Linked DNA regions of Daphnia pulex. The protein of the gene in region 2 binds, or shares a complex with, the protein of the main gene of each other region. Links are inferred from orthologs where the notes say so. Each region holds a gene or a part of one and is shown on either strand. Other genes may lie near its edges.

Evidence for each region.
Region 1: the proteins of regulator of nonsense transcripts 2-like (region 2) and regulator of nonsense transcripts 1-like are in contact, whole or in part, in a crystal structure (PDB 2WJV), measured with the Homo sapiens proteins. The link is inferred for Daphnia pulex from reciprocal best matches to the Homo sapiens genes UPF2 and UPF1. Residues at the interface, in NP_056357.1 of Homo sapiens: Val1105, Cys1107, Glu1109, Asp1110, Phe1113, Ile1114, Ala1116, Leu1117, Met1120, Met1121, Asn1124, Leu1125, Arg1128, Met1169, Pro1170, Phe1171, Val1172, Met1173, Leu1174, Thr1175, Gln1181, Lys1184, Leu1186, Asn1187, Val1188, Pro1189, Ser1192, Gln1193, Leu1194, Asn1197; in NP_001284478.1 of Homo sapiens: Asn150, Thr151, Ser152, Gly153, Val157, Asn158, Leu160, Val161, Arg162, Lys164, Lys166, Pro175, Leu176, Gly177, Thr179, Tyr184, Cys188, Asn190, Val191, Phe192, Leu193, Phe196, Pro198, Asp202, Ser203, Val204, Val205, Val206, Leu207, Cys209.

What each region holds. Positions count from the first base shown.
Region 1 is NC_060017.1:7,855,656-7,860,214, forward strand, and holds the start of regulator of nonsense transcripts 1-like, read right to left. Parts: upstream 2,962-4,559; 5' UTR 2,783-2,961; coding exon 2,597-2,782; intron 2,537-2,596; coding exon 2,285-2,536; intron 2,222-2,284; coding exon 2,049-2,221; intron 1,985-2,048; coding exon 1,599-1,984; intron 1,541-1,598; coding exon 1,436-1,540; intron 1,374-1,435; coding exon 1,271-1,373; intron 1,211-1,270; coding exon 1,051-1,210; intron 979-1,050; coding exon 695-978; intron 636-694; coding exon 377-635; intron 315-376; coding exon 1-314. Other genes in the region: uncharacterized protein LOC124197441, read right to left, coding at 3,969-4,093, 4,167-4,427, 4,505-4,559. UniProt on the Homo sapiens protein: RNA-dependent helicase required for nonsense-mediated decay (NMD) of aberrant mRNAs containing premature stop codons and modulates the expression level of normal mRNAs.
Region 2 is NC_060024.1:11,700,862-11,705,216, forward strand, and holds the start of regulator of nonsense transcripts 2-like, read right to left. Parts: upstream 2,833-4,355; 5' UTR 2,704-2,832; coding exon 2,629-2,703; intron 2,547-2,628; coding exon 2,154-2,546; intron 2,099-2,153; coding exon 1,757-2,098; intron 1,694-1,756; coding exon 1,304-1,693; intron 1,246-1,303; coding exon 1,152-1,245; intron 1,088-1,151; coding exon 919-1,087; intron 853-918; coding exon 705-852; intron 643-704; coding exon 424-642; intron 359-423; coding exon 1-358. UniProt on the Homo sapiens protein: Involved in nonsense-mediated decay (NMD) of mRNAs containing premature stop codons by associating with the nuclear exon junction complex (EJC).

The DNA.
Region 1 (4,559 bases), on a different chromosome or scaffold from region 2:
CCCGATCCAGCAATTTCCTCCTGACCCAATGTAACGTAGAAGAACATGGGCCTATCTGGCATTGGCCAAGGGAAATCTACCCCGCGAAGGATTCGGTCTTCCGCGCAAACACCATTCTGTAGTGATCCCTCGTAAAAGAAGTTGGAAGGAAACTCGGACAACCTTGGGTGCATACGGTACTGTACTTCCAAACGGAAGGGCCGGATGCCAAGTACTACCAGTCTTTCAAACAGTGATTGCGAGAGACCAGCTTTGGCAGCTGGTTTACACATCACCACTGGGCCCAACTGACAATGATCTCCAACCAGAATGAGCTAAACACCCAAAACATTGAATTAATAAAAATCTAAAACACATAATACCAAGGGATTCTTACCTGTCTTGCTCCTAGGACGACAGGGACCATGCATTCAGGTTCAGTAGCTTGCATTGATTCATCGATCAAGATAGATGCAAACTTAATGCGAGCCAAGCGAACATCACCAGCACCAACACAAGTGCACGCTAATACATCTGCTGCTTCGAGTAGCTCTCGTTCTGCTTGTCGCTTTAACATGCGGTATCGCTTTTCATCTCCCTGTGAAAGCTCACCGACTTCCTCCTTAAGCTGGACCAGCTTTCGCAACTCTGAAGCTCTATAATAGAAGTTAACTTTAGCCCCACGATGACACATTTTCGCAAAGTAAATTCTTACCCTTCAAGACATCGAACTTGATTATGCAAGGCCAAGAACGAGACGGGTGAATCAATGGCCTCTCTGGATTTCGCGCACAAACGGACCACTTTCAGACCAGTTCGATGAATCTTTTCAGTCAATTGGTCAACAGCAATGTTGGACGGAGCGCAAACTAATACTGGCCCTGATCCTAGTTTAGCCAAATGGTACACGATGGTGGCCGATGTAACCGTTTTCCCGGTACCAGGAGGTCCTTGAATTAATGTCAATGGACGTTGAACTGCTTGTTTTACAGCAAAAACCTGTAAAGCGTAACATTATGAGATAAGCAATGAATGTTCTATGTTCTATCAAGTAACAACTAAATTTTATACCTGAGATCGATTCAGCTCAGGCAAGTCAGGAGCAGAGAAATGTTTAGGGAGATGTAGGCGGAATACGACATCTTCAACCTCGTGACCGAGCAAACGATGATAAATGTAAGCTGAAACGCTACTTTCGTCAACTGCAAATTTCCGCAGGGCCGATTGCATCCTGAAAGACATGTTTCTTAGTCACTAGATCTCTTTGAAATACGAGCTCATCGGATGTTACCTATCAAAAGACGTTGATTTCCAGACAAAATCCACGACGAAATTTGTGGAACATTCTGTAGGAGCTCCGTTTGAATTCTTTAATTCAATTCCGACTTCTTCGCCTAAAATATAGTTATTTATATATTATATTATCATTATTATTACTATTATATATTAGACTGACTGTAGTTGTCTGGAAGTTTAATCACGTGCCCCAAACCAGTCCACGGTTTGTGTAGTTCCCCAAGGTAACGCAATCTTAATTCGTCACCATGCATCAGTTTCATATCTGAATTAACGAAAAATATGAGAAGGGACACTAGTGAACTATAAATATTAGGCATTACCGCTATCTGTCTTTTGAAGACTAAAGTAAGCGACAGTCTTTTTATTAAGACCGACATCCCAGCGAACGTGAACGTTGTCTTGAGTTTGGGCTTCTTTAACTCGTCGGTCGTAGTCTGCTTCAAGTTTCACTAGCGGACCAAAAATATTCTGATATTGATAGCCATCCTCATATCGCAGCAATACGTGCTGAGGTTCTTCGTCAACGCCAGGACGTTCCAGGTCTTCAAAACTAGCCTCAGGTTTCTCTTTCCACATCTCTTCCAAACGGTTCAATTGCTGGGCCGTCAATTGACGAGCTCTCATCTGTTCGGCCTCTGAAGGGCTTCGAACAAGCCAACTGAGGAAACAACGATCAGCTATAAGTGGTTTCCATTGTTCAATGTCCCTATTAGCAAGAAGAAGTTAGTAGAAAACCACACATGACAAACAGCACAGTAAATTTAACTAACCAGTTCATGTCTTTCAATGATGACTGAGCTGCACAAGGTTGGCGACACAGCAGCACAACAACTGAATCTGCTTTAGCAGGAATGAACCCCAAAACAAAAACATTTCTGACTCCACAAGAATAGCACTCCAAAACTGTTTCACCCAACGGTCCATCACGATGCAATGTAACCTCCTGAAAAATTAAGAGTTTGATTATAAACAAGGATTAAGATTTATATTTTTAAAATATTTTTACCTTGTGTTTGGCTCGTACAAGATGATTAACAATGTGAGAGCCAGAAGTATTACCTTTGCCATTGCAAAACCATTTCTTGCAAATATTACACATTACAACACAACCAGGATCATGGATGCCGCAATACTTGCATGCATGTGGTGGCAAATCTTTGCTGTAATAGCCCTCTTCATCTTCTTCCTCAAACTGGAGATCGTTCAAATTTTTCATTGCAGTAGCAAGTTGAGAATCAATCGTGTCCAGCCCATTCGCCTGAAAATGACCACAAATTACAGAAATGTTTTCAAAGTTTCACCAGGCAGGATTTCTTACCTGATGTTTTCCCATTGATTTGTGAAGGCTGGCATGATCAATTTGTGAAGCCTGGGTTTGACTCGGCAAAGTAAAATCGCGAAAATCGAAATCAGTTCCCTGAGTGTCTGCCCCAAGTAAATCATTTTCCTCGGTGTCGAGAAACGTGAGCGTTTGCGAATTGGGCCCAAAAGTGTCCACACTCATTTTGCCAAATGGTATAGCAATTAATGACGTCAATTACAATCTCTTACGGAACGAAACTCGCATGTGTGTTTTCACGGCTGTGCGAGTTTTCCCTTTTCCTTTAGTGCGATCGAAGCGCCATCTCTCGGCTTGATGGTTGATGCAACCGCCCTCTTGCGCAATCTTTTGAAAAATGTAATGAAATACCAGTTGTGTTGCACATTAGATAGGCACAGTGGCACACAAACAAACACACTTAGATCTAAGCTAAATAACAACGCTTTATAGATAAAGATTTTCGGGATCGCCAGATTATGTGCTCCTATGGTACTTTTTGTGCCCAGTCACAAATTATTATTGTTCACATTCGTGATTTAAATATTGCTTGCAGGTTATAGTTACATTGTTATACAGAAAAGAATTAATGAAGTAGAAACAGGTCTTAAACCACGATTCAGATAATAATTGAGTCACAGAATTAGGAAGCCAGTGGTTTCAGAGAAAAAGACATTTCATTTCTCGTAGACATATAGGGCTGTTCGACATCTTTTTTAACATTTGTTGCCATCGTGGCAACGCAGCAACTCATGTATTTTTGTCTGCTACGAGTGACTTGTGTTTGTTCTGCGAAATATGAATTTTTTTGAAAAATAGTGATAGAAAAGGGGGTTGTTTTGAAGTTGTGATGTGTTTTATTTATATATTAGTTCGTTATAGTGTTAGTGTTTAACTATGTCACTGTCTAATTATGCCAGTGGACTTAGTATTGAGGCCAAAACACGTTATTTGGGAAAGTTATTTGTGCAGACAACAATTTCAAGAGAAAAACATTCCACGAATCGTGCATCAAGTCGCAAACTAATCCCCCAAAAAGAATAACAAAGCTTTGGAAGTATGACACTTGCAAGAAAGCTGCTCGTGCCGTAGCAGCCGCAGCGGCAAAAGCAAAGAAAAATAACTTACCGGTCGTTCCTAGTAACAGTCAAGTTCAGAGAACAGCACTTTCCAATATAACCTCAATCAGTAGGCCCTAGTGAGCGAAAAGATACAATTTGTGTACCTTCCTTTGTAAAAAAGAAAATCTCCATTTGTGAAAATGTTGTGTTTGATTAAATTATTACGAAGAAAATGGTAATATGTTTGTGCCCCTGTTAACCAAGGTTAATACATCAAGTATTTATTGAAAATTTTTGGTTTATTATGACAATTATTCACCTAAACACACTACAGTAAGGGTACAACAGATGAACACGAAAACTGAAGTTGTTAGTGATGAATCACCGGAAGTAAATTCGACGTCCCTGATGGATTGACTTGAATTATTTAATGCAGCTGAAAATTATAAGTAATGAACCAAAATATTACTTTCATTAATTACAAAATTACATTTTAAAACATTACTTACGCAATGCATCAAAGGTGGTTTCAACCGTTATGATAGTTTCATCATCGGCAGTTGAAGTCATGTCAAAAGTTTCCGTACTTGTTGTTACATCGTTCAAGGATGGGATTGGATGAGAATCACTTATTAGAAGTGTATCTTCAATTAATGCAACATCTTCATCGAAACTGTTTGAGGTATCTTCAGTTGCAGTTTCAACATCTATCAATGGAGGTGTATCAGCCTTGTCAAAAGCAACATTGTTACGTACTTGATGATCACCATCTGTAATGACAAAATAGTTCATTCATTAAAACAACATATAGGAATGTTTTTTACACATGAAATGAATAATGCAATACCTAGAAATTGTTTCGTCTTATTTGATCCCACATTTATAGAGGGTGCCCAATCAAC
Region 2 (4,355 bases):
TCCGGTGACCAACGAATTCCTGATAGAGTGTCAACTCGGCCACGACCCCAGCTAATGTACGAATGTTAGGAAACTTGACCTTCCACGCTGAAGTTAAACAGCGAACAGCATAAGATGCTACTTCAGGATCTTTCCAGTTGAGCTTTCTAAGTTGTTTGAGGATCTTATTTGTAGATCCTTTGTTTCCAAGCTCAACAAAAAGAAGTTGGCGGATGTATTGATGGAGCGGAGGACGGATTTTGATGTGACTACTCCTAGCACTGCTATCCACGGGAACGACTTGGTAGTAAGCATTCTCAATCATCGTCAGATAGCGCGAGTCCGACGCCAACATCGATTTCTTTCGCATCATTTGATCCTTTTATCAAATATTGGGAATTATTATTGCAAAACTTTATACCAGAAAAGAGTTAATCCGTGTACCAAGTAGACTTTTGTGCGCTGATGGGAATCTGGCTGGTGAAGCAGGAATCGTCCGCACGTCTCAAGCAGATGGCAAGTCATTTCAATGTAATGATGGGCAAAGTTTAGCAAAAGCTGTTTAAAACATTGCAGTGCATCTGCGCGTGGGTACATGCCGAATTTCGTTAGCTCGCCTATGAAACGAACAATTTTCACCTTGGTCTCGATATTGATTTGATCCTAAATAACAATAAGTAATAGTAAGCTTACAACATTAATCATAAACAAGTTTAAAAACTAACCTTTTTCCGAACATGATATTTGAAGTCTTGTCTGAGGAAGTTACACAAATCTGTCGCAACTTCAGGGATGTACGGATGCAAAGTGGCCACCAGTCGAGAGTAGAACGGCAAGAGATCCAATCGAGTTCGCTGTACAGTAAATAGAGCCCTAGGTGTAAAAAAATATAACATTAAAGGATAATTCGATTATTATTTCAATTTTTGGGGGGTTTACCTAACGAGTTTCTTGCGATTGTGTTTTGTGTTTAGATTTGTAGAAAACTCAATGGCAGCTGAGTCGATCATTTCACGGTTGACGCAAGCTGTCAGAGTGGTAAGAAAACTATCCAGTAGCACTTTATTTGATTGAAGACTGACTGGAACATCTGCATCCTCTTTTTCATCTATTTAGAAGGTAACGACCGTAAAAATTGAAAGGGAAATATAAAGCAATAACCAATATAATACCTTCTAACTCGGCAGGTTTGATATCTTCATCGCCTTCATCTTTGACTTGCTCGCCTTCTTCTATTTCTTTCGCTTCTTTTTCGATATCAATCATCTAGTACAACAATAAATTAACATTCAACACAAATTAAAAACATGGATTACGTTCGTACCTGTTCGACGGGATCGGGAGGAGGCAGAGTTTCTGCGGTGACTTTGGGAATCAAGTTGGGGAGATAAACGCTCAGATTAGGAAGACTTTCGTAGAACTGTCGCCCTTCCTCGTTCTCCCACAGAAGTTCATTGAGAGTTTCGCGTGCCTGATCTGACATGTTCTCGCACAGCTCCAGCACAGAACACTCTTCGTCTCTGGGACTTAGATCTTGTCGAAGCTCGGGTAACTCCTCAGCCAAGATGTCAGCAAATTGTTGGGTCATGTTCAAAAGTTTTGTAAAACTTTGATTCAAAATCTCCTGCTTTTCTTTTCTTTCGTTGCTTAATTCTCCTTTCGTTTGTAAGATCCGCCGATTTTGTCTCTCGAAGTTTTGAAGTTCTTTGTGATCCTGATATTTAAAAAATTAACGGACGTCCTTTCTAGGAGATGGAATCAAACTAATGAATCTAACCTGAGTAAGATGTTTACAAAGAGACGTATAATATTCACGCAGGAGGTTTCTAACATTTTGGCGTTTGTCAGCTGGCAACCAGTTGCTCGTTGGAACAGCTATTTTGAAGCGTTCAGCATCGTTCAGCAATTTTTGAGAAACGAGACCTGCGTAGTCCTCCCCGCAAAACTTGCAGAAAGCAAGAATGATGGTGGCGCTGTTATGTTCTTCCTTGTCGCCATGAATCAAATTGGTAAGAAAACTACCGAGTAAAGGAAGACCTTCTTTAGGGGTCAAAACTCCGCACGATATCAAATCCGCATAGAATCGGACATCGACTCTCATCTTACTGGGATTTGAAATCTACAAAAAAAAACGTGTTTCAATAGGATTATGATAAAAATATGCTAGGGTATACCTTTTCATCTTTCTTCAAGGAAAGCACTTTTTGCCATGCTTCTAGAATTTGGGGGGCAAAGTCAACATATTTCTCGTGAAGGACAACACACACTTGCAGAATGCTGGCGATATCTGTCATTTTTAATTTTGCTTCAACAATTGCATTGGCAACTTCACTGATGTATTTGGTCAGGTTCAATGTGTTGATGTCCTTCAAAATGCTTTCTTTTTGAGCTTCTGTAAAGTTCTTGAGCTTTCTTACAAATGCTGTATTCTTTTTAATGCTTGAATCTAATTTCGAAAAATGGGATTCTTCTGGACGATTTTGAATTGTTGCATGAATCCTACTACGAAGCTTTGCTTTATGAGTAAAATGACCCTCAATTTCTGCTATTGCTTCTTTGAAATTTTTCTAATGAAAATAAAAAAGGTAAATATGGTGTACACATCAATCAGTCTCAACATGTTGTTATGGTCTCCTGATTACAACTTACCAAGGCTAAGGATTCTTTCTCTTCTTCATCCAATACAAGAGAACAGTCATCAGGTAGCTCAGAGGTAGAATCCATTTTAAATAAAAAAAATATTCAACCAACTGGAAATTAATTTTAGTATGGAGAACCGATATGTTTTGTTTAACGTAGTAACCCAGGAAAAAAACAAAATCGCTTCTTCGACTCAAGCAGACAAAATATTTGTGTTACAAAATACAGCGCCGTTGCCAAACTTAGATGTGATAAAAATCAAATTGCGTTGGAAAAAAGTGGAAAATAAATTTTATAACATTTCCAATGAAACTTTAATGAAAATACCAGAATCCTACCAAGAATTAATATCTATGTAAATATTACATTTCTTATGTGTTTTTGTGTTTCTTAATTGGGGATTTGGGGGGAGGGGAAACATCACTTTCGACATCTAATCCATCCAATCCAGAAAGAAAGTTGTTTCTGATTCATTTCTTTATCTCTGTTTTTCCTTGCGAATCCCGATCTAATATTTATATGGCTGCGTTTGGGAGTTCCCCTCTCGGACCAACCTGCTTCGAAAGTTTTGAAATATCTTTAAAATCTAAAAAGAAGAATGGCACGTAATTCGGATGCAGGGAATGGCGTGCGCTGTTAATTTAATGGGAAAAGTAATTTTATATAGAAACTCAATGTCATGACCAATGAATCATTCCGAGCGGTTGCTAACGATTGTGATAGTAGGCTACTAATAATGATAATTAATAATTTGCGTTGCATGGCGTCGAAAAAAAATCGTTTCTATGTTGCGATGAGCAATCTGGAAGCTAGAAGAAGCAACATGAGCATCGATTATGTTTATGTATTCTTTGAACAATACAAAAAAAGAACAGCTAAATATTTTATATTTTAATGATTTTTATATAAAAATTATTCTTACTAGACCTGTGTGCAATTCACATTCTCTCCTTATGGTTCCTCGAGCACTTAAAGTTAAATCTATGCAAAACTGAATAAATGCATGTAAAGCAGCAAACTACTTTCACATATAGCAACCACTCGCTATACAGACAACTAATGCATGACTTTCTAGTCTTGGTTACAAACGCTTAACCGCTAAACGGTAGTAAAAAAAAAAGAAAAATATGAAATCTTATTACATGTTTTCTTAATATCCTGTTGTTCTGTGTCCTTTGGGAATCCCTTCTACTCCGTTCACAATGTGAAATGGGGTAAAATTGTCGTTGTCACAAAATAAAACTTTTGTTGATGACTGTACGCTCAAACATACACCACATTTTTCCAGGAAGTAGTTTGTAGAATCTACTGCCCTGCGGTTGAATAAACAACTCCAGACACTTGCGGAATGGGCGTTCCGAATCGTCTCTTGATATACTTATTGTGTGCTTTTGTTATTAATTCAGTAACAACATTGCTGACCTAGCAATTGGAGCACGGTCCATCTTTTTAGGTCCTCGGTGAGAACCGCTTCGAAATCAGGGCGAGATTTCGACCAAACATTTTGCAAGAAGCGCTTCCCTCCGTTCGAGCTATAACTGAAATGACAATGATGAGATTTAGAACTTTGTTCATCCCATAAGAACATATACATACTGGGTGGTGCCTGCCCGGTGGTACCCTGGCCGAAAGTCGGTCGATGGTCTTACAATGGTTCCGTAGTATTGGGCACGAACCCAATCATATCAGCACGATAAACTGCACAGGATGTGTCTACGTGAAAGTATTTGAAAAGA